2 linked regions of the Mus musculus genome follow. The protein of the gene in region 2 interacts with the protein of the main gene of each other region in a pairwise test. Links are inferred from orthologs where the notes say so. Each region holds a gene or a part of one and is shown on either strand. Other genes may lie near its edges. The genes, in order: Samd3 and Hspd1.

Region 1 (4,352 bases), on a different chromosome or scaffold from region 2:
TGAAACTACTTGTCATAACCTTGTTTTAAAAAATTGCATAATTGACAGAGGACTGTGTTGGTCTGTTAAAGGGAGGGCAGATTCGCCCCAAGATTGTGGTGTTTCATGATGTGAATTCAAGCAGTTCAGAGTTCAGAGGCTTTCTTGATACGCAGATGAAGAAACAAAACTTCCAAACATTGAACAGAATGAATCTAAGTCAGCCAATAAAACCAAGAATGAAGTCCTAGCTCTTGGCAGTCCAACAACTTCTAGTGTGCTACAGAGCAGAGAAGTGGATTGATGGCCTGCCAGGGTTTTTTTTTTTTTTTTATTTTTGATTTTGTTTTGGTTTTTTTTTCTGAGCTATGCCCAAGGCAAGATCAAGATTCCAGTCAACTGGGGAGGGACTTCCAGCTCACCCAAATGTTCTTGGAAGTGACACTGCAGTCCCTTTGAAGCTCACCCCTCCCTTTCTCTAGAGAGCATTAAAAGGTTACAGTGAGAACTTCACACAAATGTCACAGACCCAATACCCTGCTTCAACCAGGGTCATAAAGAAAGAACTCCTTCAAATAAATCACTTGGAAGAATTTCCGCTTTGACTTCCTTTGTAACTATTGTTATTATTTTTTAAAGACAACATTTATCTCTGTACCTTAGACCAGCTTCAACCTCATAGCAATCCTTCTGCCTCGACCTTTTAACTGCTGGGGTTACAAGCTAACCCCATCCACATCTTTAGCCCTTCATGGCTACCAAATAATCCAAGTACACCAAGTAGAAATTAAATTACTTAAGCCAAGTCTCTCTGATGTTATATTGTTTATCAAAAAAGAAAGAAATACTTATACTTATAGGCCTAATTTCAGAAAAGGAAAAAAAATAAAATGATACCATTCAATATCACATTTTACAAAAAGAAAAAAAAAAGAATGGTGATTGGTTAATAGCAAATATTTAACCTTAAAAGTTATGACCAGTCTCAGGTGTGGAAATAGTAAATCAGAGTGCCTGAAAGAATCTTGATGCATGGATTTGTAAAACATTTTAATTGATGAAGCTCGTTACCATTCCTTTCCATTCCGGAGTTAAGAGATTAAAAGCAAACTAACAAACATAGCCACCCTCCAACTTGAGAGCTTCTTTGTGACACTGTGAATGTTCTGAATGATGTCTCGGTGTTTCTGTCACAGTGGTCTTTACTTTATGATCAGTTTTCAAAGAAGTATGAAACTCAGTTGTGACAAAGGTGTTAGCAATTGCTATTGTGAAAGGCCTTTGAGAAAAGTATGAATTAGTTACCACAGGGAGACCTATGCAAATAAACACACAAATGAACAAATAGTTTGGGACATGGCAAAGGACCAGCCACAGGTCCTTGTAGTAGCCCAGTTACATCATACATGCAGTTTCTACACCTAACGCATTCGTTCTACTGTGGGCTCCAGATCACGTAGCATAGGAACTTCGTGCCTGCAGGATTGCCTTAACAGCCACTGTCGGTTTTTAAAGAATAGTGGAAAGAAAAACAACAAATTCTGACTCAATTCTTCATACATGCTGGTCAAATATTAGAAGTCCTGTGCATACCATCTAACTGAAATTTGTCCACAGTTTTAAAAGCTTTGATTCTTTGACACAAGGCAATAGCCGTGCATAAACAGGGACCAAAAACCTAGCCCGTTCTCTGGTGTACTCACTCAGGGGCCGCTTGTGCCGGGGTCAGCGTGGATGTATCTGCGGGGCCTCCCGTAGGCTTCAGCTCTTGATTGCCCTGCTTGTATTTCTTAATGAAGTCCATCAGAACAGCCTGGTGTCCAATTTTCTTTACCAGTTGCTGTACCATCCGATCATTAAGGGCCAGGAGTGTGGCCCCACTGACTTCTTCCTCTGGGAAAAAAGAAAATTAACTTTCATATCACTTTCCAGGAAAACATGGGCACAGAAAGAAGATAAAACTAGTTCTGGTTTTAAAACGATTATCTAAGCTTGAGATGGCAGTCACTGCATTATCTGTCAGGGCTCTAATACAGCATAGTTCCAAACTGAAGCCTGCTGCTAAGAAATCACCAGACCGCAAGTCCCAATAAAAACTGCGTTTGTTTGTTTGCATATTAATACCCCTTTTCCAGGCCAATTTTTACAGTCAACAGAAATAGAAGTCTTTCGGGGAAGCTATTTTTATAATACCTCCTACTTGCTATTTAACACTGGCACATCCCATACTGTATAGAACACGAGTGATTATGTAAGACAAAAGAAACACACAAAGTCTATGTCAAAGGTAACTTCCAAGAGTTTGCAATCATCTGGAAATAACACTCTCTTCAGAGGATGCTAGGTAAACTGGAAACTGCCTCAGTCTGTGGGAAAGAGATGAAGTTCCTCATCAGAACAGCTCCTTATCCACAAACAGGCAGACCCTAGGCAAGAAAAGCAGCTTTCACAACAGAGCGCACCCGCACGACTGCATGGCTCAAATAAAATCCACACAAAGTATACAAACAACTTACCTTGAAACCTGGGGACTAGCTCACCTAAGTTTTTTTCCACCAACCATTTGCAGACCTGATCAACTGACCACGTTTCCATTGCTGGATTCTTGTCAATACACCTGTAGAATAAAAAGTGGGGATAGCTTGCCTGCTTGCCTGTCTCCCTCCCTTCCTTCCTTCCTTCCTTCCTTCCTTCCTTCCTTCCTTCCTTCCTTCCTTCCTCCCTCTCTGATTATTAGTCTTTGATTAGATTTTTAAACAGTCAGCTTTCTCTCCTCTGCTAAACTCCTTTCAATACATGGCTTTAAAAAGAAAATGTTTCTACAATGCAACATGTAAAAGTTGCTAATAAATCAAATTGTTGCTTAAAGGTGGATTTTAGCCTATTTCTCAGTCTCATTTCTTCACCTTCTCCTACTTGATTTCCGCAGGCATCCGTCAGCTTCAATAGCAGACAGCCGGCACATACAATGGTACCCAATGCTGTACCATTAACACCCAGGTTTCTTCACAAAGAACAGAAAGGTGTGAAATCATCAGGAAGTGGTTGACATTTACAGAGGGGTGGGCAGGGGAGAAAGGGAGGAAGGATCAGATAAAAGTCTGACTGAGAGACGTAAGTAAACCAGGATGCCTTAACCCCTTGCTTCTCCCAACTAAGAGAGAGATGACCCACTGTCCTCACAGCTCTGGGCCAGCAGCAAACTCTTTTCTCAGGGGAAACTAGCCTCATGTGCCATTCTCCTGTCGTTCCAATGTTACTCCTACATACTGGAGTATGCTCTCAAACAGTACCAAACACTATTGTAACACATCTATCTGTCTGTCTATCTATCTATCTATCTATCTATCTATCTATCTATCTATCTATAGCTTTATCGGTTATAACATATATGTATATACACATATATGTATATACAAATATGTATAATATACACACATATGCATATTTATACATATATATGTATATATGCATATATATACATGTGTATACATATATGAAGATATAGAAATATGAGGATACATACACATGGGTATGCATATATCTTTATATATCTATATCTATGTAGTTAGTTGTGCAGGTCAAGTTAGGACATACCTGAAGATGTTAGTGTTGTCAAAGTGAAAGAAGCAAACACAGATTTTGCATGGATCACTCTTAACTACCCCCACTAACTTTGCACCAACAGACCAGTCTACCATCTTCCATAAATTTGTAATTTCCTCGAGGAAGCTTTTTTTCTGCATTTATAATTCAACCCAGGAGACTTCTAAGGAATTGATAGAAACAAAGTCAAAAACAGTCTTAAATTATTTTAACCCTTCAACATTATTTTCAACATTGACTTTTATTCCAGATGATTTATCATTTTTCTGTATGATACCTGCTATTTTGTAAAGACAAAGTGAGAAGGTTCCCTTGGTGGAATTGGAATATAGATGTGTTTGTGTGTGTGTGTGTGTGTGTGTGTGTGTGTGTGTGTGAGAACATCTTTGTAGTTTTTAATTTTGTGTTTTTAACTAAATTATAGTTACCAACATCAGAAAAATAATCCCCAGTAGGAAGAAAAAAAGATGTACCCAACATTCAAGAAAACCTGACAATAACAGCCTTCAAAAGCAGTTTCCTAGAAAACAAGAAACTTCAAAGTAATGGGCCACACACTCCTAAGTATCCACAAACACTGACTGGAAAAACTGAAAACAAGGGTTAAATACAGAGGAACACCTTTAGAATTTCAACAGTGGATTTAATTTGCTTCAACAAACAGTAGCCACAAAGCTCCTCCCCAGGCTAAGCAGCAATTGCAGGGTGTGAAAAGTCATTATTTGCAAGACTCTGGTGTAAATTAAAAATCACACCTTTCTGTCACA
Region 2 (4,581 bases):
ATTTGTCATTTTTAACCATCCTGCAACATGAATCTCAAAGCCACGTTAATCAACCATCTTAGGTCTATAAAAAATGAGCACTGATCATTTGCCAGGAGTCCAACATTGAATGAAGCACAACAGGAATTCCCTGGTACTAACAGATGCCACCCATAAAACAAGAAAGCACAGATGTTAATCGCCAAATCCCAGAACACTCTTCACATCATTTGCACTTGAGTTTTGGCTATGACCTAGGTTTATTTTGTTTTCTGAGACAGGACATTTCTGTGTAGCCTTTCCTGTCCTCAAACTCACAAAACACAAAGATCTGCTTGCCTCTGCCTCCTAAAGGCTAGCTGGAATTAGAGGCATGCACCACTACCACTACAGCCCTGCTTATGAACTATTTTTAAAACATGTTTTGCTTTAAAATTCATTCACTAAATATCAGCCAGTAAGATAATGTGCTTTTCTGGTTCGCTCAATAAAAAACTTCAAATATGACACCAACAAGTATTGGCAACTTTTGGATTTGAACCAAACTTCTATTGTCTTGAGCTATGTAAACAGTTCTTAAAGATGCAGGTTTTGGGGGGGGGGGTGCATGTGTGGAAGACTTTTGGGATAGCATTGGAAATGTAATTGAGGAAAATACGAGAAAAAAAAAAAAGATGCAGGTTTTTTTGTTGTTTTGTTTTTCAAGACAGGATTTCTATTGTTGCCATGCTTTCCTGAAACTTAGAGAACTACCAGCCTAAGCCTCCTGAGTGTTGGGATTATGCAGCTCTTTAGACCAGTTTAGCATTAATTTAAAATGACTGTGCACCACATCCAATGGTGTCCTCAAAGTACTATAGCTCCCTATTCAGCCACACAAATGTGTGATCACAACCTCTGATCTTAGCACTGCTCTGAGTTCAAGGCTGACTTGGCCAGCTATGGTTAGAGACCCTGTGAGTATAATACTGAATTCCTACACTTGAGATGTAAGTTGTTCAAGGACAGCCTTGCCACAAGGGAGTTAGAACTCAGACTAAGCTAGTGAGACTCTCTCAAAAGCAAAAACTGGACAATTTTTTTGCAATGTGAAAATTGTAGCAATCACGAGGTGTACAATGAAGGGACGAATGGAAGACCACAAAGGTTTTCTCCCAAGGGCAAGTGAAAACAGTCTGGTGATATGTGTTGCAGAAGCTGGTGGATGGATCGCTCTGAGTCTCAGGACAGTCTAGGCTACCGGAGAAATGCTGTCTTAAAAACAAAACCCCCAAACAACAAAGCCCATAAAGTAAAGTTTGTAAAGATGGCTCAGCGGGTAAGAGCACTGACTGCTCTTCCGAAGGTCCCAGCAACCTTCAAATCCCAGCAACCACATGGTGGCTCACAACCACCCGTAATGAGATCTGACACCCTCTTCTGGTGTGCCTGAAAACAGCTACAGTGTACTTACATATAATAAATAAATCTTGAAAAAAAAAGGTTTAGTTACTTAAAAAAACAAAACAAAAAACACAGAAACCAATGATTCTATGCTAGTGCATTTTGCCTTATGTGTTGGAGTATTTCAGCACAATGAGTGAACTCTCACATTACAGCTATATACTTTGAGGTATTATTAGACTTAAGTTGTACTTTCCCCTCTATACCCTCTAACTACTGGGACGAGATCCAAAATTTAATGCAAGCATGCACAAAATCATGACTATAGTTTGAAAATCCTCCTTGAGATATTACTACTCTATTACATCACAATGTACAAAAGTCCCCCAAATCGCCTGGAGCAGTAGTAAGGACACCATGGTGGTAGAATGACCAATAGACCTCCTGACTAAATAACACCTCTAGACCACTAAGTTGTACCACATGCAAATTAGATTTTTCACAAAACTTGATAACAAATTGCTGTCTTGCAGCTACTATATTCTTTAACACCATTTAAGTATACTGGTACCTTTGGCCCCATTGTAACAGCTACAGCATCTGCTAAAAGGTCTACACCTTGAAGCATTAAGGCTCGAGCGTCCGCACCAAATTTTACATCTTTGGCATAGGCCCGAGTGAGATGAGGAGCCAGTGCCCGGGACACTGGTCTCATCTGGCGAAGGACTGTGGGTAGTCGAAGCATTTCTGGGGAAGGAAAAAAGAAAAATCACTACAAACTTGTCCAACGGTGCTTCAAAACATGGGAGGCTAGATTGGAGCTGGGCTGTCCTCTGCTAACCACCATGCCTGGGCGCTGCAGATTCAGGGCATAATCTGCTAGCCAACTGATCATGGAGGCTGACCCCAAGCCTGACCAACAGCATAAGCACAAAGCACAGAAAACCACATCCCCATGGCCACCCACTCTGCCCTCTCAAGTTAATCTTTCACTGCCAAAGCGGCCTTGGGAGCAGATCCACTCCGAAAAGTGTCCAAAGGAAAAAAATCAAGTTGGTGCAAGCAAGGCAGGTTCTAAATGCAATTGCCTAGAGAACTACAGAAGTACTCATGACGGTGCAAAACCCTCTGAGTGTGTCGCCAGGTATCCACCCGAAGCTACGGTAACACAGCAGCTAGCAAGGCCGGAGGAAAAGACAGTAGGTCAGTCCAGCCTCGCGGCCCCACGTGTCTTCCCGACCAGGAGCCCCGAGCAAGGTCAAAGTGAACACCGGACCGCCGCGGCCACCGGGGACTAAAGGACCCCGACCACCCTCCCACAGAGTCCTGCAGTGCGCCAGGCGCAGGTGGCACCAGAGGGCCCAAGTTGCTTCCACCCTAGCCCGCCCTTGCTCCGGCGCTCGGCCTGGATCGCGTGGTCCCCGCCACACGTGATGAAACCAGCGTGGCCCCGCTGGGCCTGGACAAGTGAGCCGAGCCTGCGGCGTCGCTGCCAGACTTCTCCCCCTAGTCCTCCGTGCTCGGTCCGCGCTGCAAGCAGCCCCCCGCGAGCGCCGGGGCGCCCTGCACGCCGAGGCCGCGTACCTGCGGGGCGGCGGCAGGAGAGCACGAGGCGAGGCAGGCCGTCTGCGGCGAGTGAGGGACCCAGCTCTGGGCGCGCACCGCAATGAGCCCGAGTCCCCTCCCTCCCCGCCCCGCCCCGCGGCCCCGCGTGTGCGCGCGCGCGCCCCCCGCTCTCTCCCACGCCGGGGCCCTGCAATCTGCATGCGGCGCGCGCGGCCCCGCCCTCCGTACCAGAGCCGCCTCAGCTCTGCGGCCTCAGCCCTCTCCCGCCGCCCTACGCTGGTTCCTGGGCCACGGTCCGTTCTAGAACCTTCCGGAAGGCCCCGCGCGTCCCGTGGGTGAAAGGTCAAGTGGCGTCATTTCCGGGAGGGGGGCTCGTTCTTTCACCTCGGCGGCCGGCCTGGAAAAGCCTAGAAAGTGCTCCCCTTTTCTTCCGCCTCCGGCCGCCCGCGTCGGCCCCCTTGCGCGGAGCCCTCGCCACCAATCGGCGCGCGCGTCGGCGTGGCCGCCCCCTCTCACGCTCGGGGGGCTGAGTGCGCCTGCGCGCTGCGCGGCCTTTTCACGTGTCCCAGCCGGCCAGCAGGACTCTCCTTGCAGCAGCGGCCCGAGTTCAGAGTCCGGAGCTGCGGTGGTGGCGGCGAAGGCGAGAGTCATGGTGAGTGTCTCGTGGTTGGCAGGCCTGCGGGTCCAGTTCGGCCTGCGGCCCACGGCGAACCCTTGTGCGCTTTGGGACTAATAGGACAGGGGTCCGGGGTCTGGTCAGTGTCCGGTGTCCGCCCATGGCTCTGCAGAAGCGAGGCCATTTCTCTCTCCACCATGGCTTTGCCGCACGCACGTGTGCGACAAAGCGTCTGGGGCAGGGGGCGGGAACCCGATGCACACGCAGAAGCCCACCTGCCCTGGCAGGGCTTCAGTGGATGTGTCCTATGTTGGAGAAAGACTAAGATCCAGGCTCGAAAAGTGACGCCACTCCCCCGTTATTCGAATTTTTAAAAAAATTAAAGAAATGTTTGACCTTGGAATAGATCAAGGTGGCGATTGCTGATTAGTAATGAAGACCCCCCCCCACCACCACCACCACACACACACACACACCAGACAGGGAAATGAAACTCAGTTTGTCCTATATAGAGTGGAACACTGAGTATATTCTAAAAGTACACTTGAATTTTCTTGTCCTTTTTGGAACAGGTCAGTTTTGACCTGTTGAGAGTTAAGGCTTGCGGTGGTCTTAACTGTTCGTGTTCTGACACTTCGAACTTACACTCTGTTTGATCACATTTCTCTCCACAGGCTGGACAAGCTTTTAGGAAGTTTCTTCCGCTCTTTGACAGAGTATTGGTTGAAAGGAGTGCTGCCGAAACTGTAACCAAAGGTGGCATTATGCTTCCAGAAAAGTCTCAAGGAAAAGTGTTGCAAGCAACGGTCGTGGCTGTGGGGTCAGGAGGGAAAGGAAAGGTAAACTGGTGCCCCTGGAGTGGTACTGAATTCCAGTGTGATGTGGAAGGAGGGGAATTCCTTTGGTAATTAAAAAAATGAATTACAATGGCATTTTTGGGGGGAAGAATTTCAAGTCAAATTTCAATTCACAAAGAACCTCCCATTCAGGAAAATGACTGTTTTATATTGTTTTAGAATTATTTTATGTTTCTGAAG

Evidence for each region.
Region 1: the proteins of Hspd1 (region 2) and Samd3 interact in binary tests that used the Homo sapiens proteins (3 or more experiments, as listed by UniProt). The two-hybrid records come from large-scale screens. The link is inferred for Mus musculus from reciprocal best matches to the Homo sapiens genes HSPD1 and SAMD3.

Annotation. Positions count from the first base shown.
Region 1 is NC_000076.6:26,228,348-26,232,699, reverse strand, and holds the start of Samd3 (sterile alpha motif domain-containing protein 3), read right to left. Parts: upstream 2,994-4,352; 5' UTR 2,945-2,993; coding exon of another isoform or gene 2,886-2,944; intron 2,597-2,885; coding exon of another isoform or gene 2,575-2,596; coding exon 2,496-2,574; intron 2,483-2,495; exon of another isoform or gene 2,251-2,482; intron 2,220-2,250; exon of another isoform or gene 2,173-2,219; intron 1,873-2,172; coding exon 1,683-1,872; intron 1-1,682.
Region 2 is NC_000067.6:55,084,833-55,089,413, forward strand, and holds the start of Hspd1 (60 kDa heat shock protein, mitochondrial), read right to left. Parts: upstream 3,101-4,581; 5' UTR 2,947-3,100; intron 2,110-2,946; 5' UTR 2,108-2,109; coding exon 1,934-2,107; intron 1-1,933. Other genes in the region: Hspe1 (10 kDa heat shock protein, mitochondrial), read left to right, coding at 3,578-3,580, 4,219-4,383. UniProt on the Homo sapiens protein: Chaperonin implicated in mitochondrial protein import and macromolecular assembly. Together with Hsp10, facilitates the correct folding of imported proteins.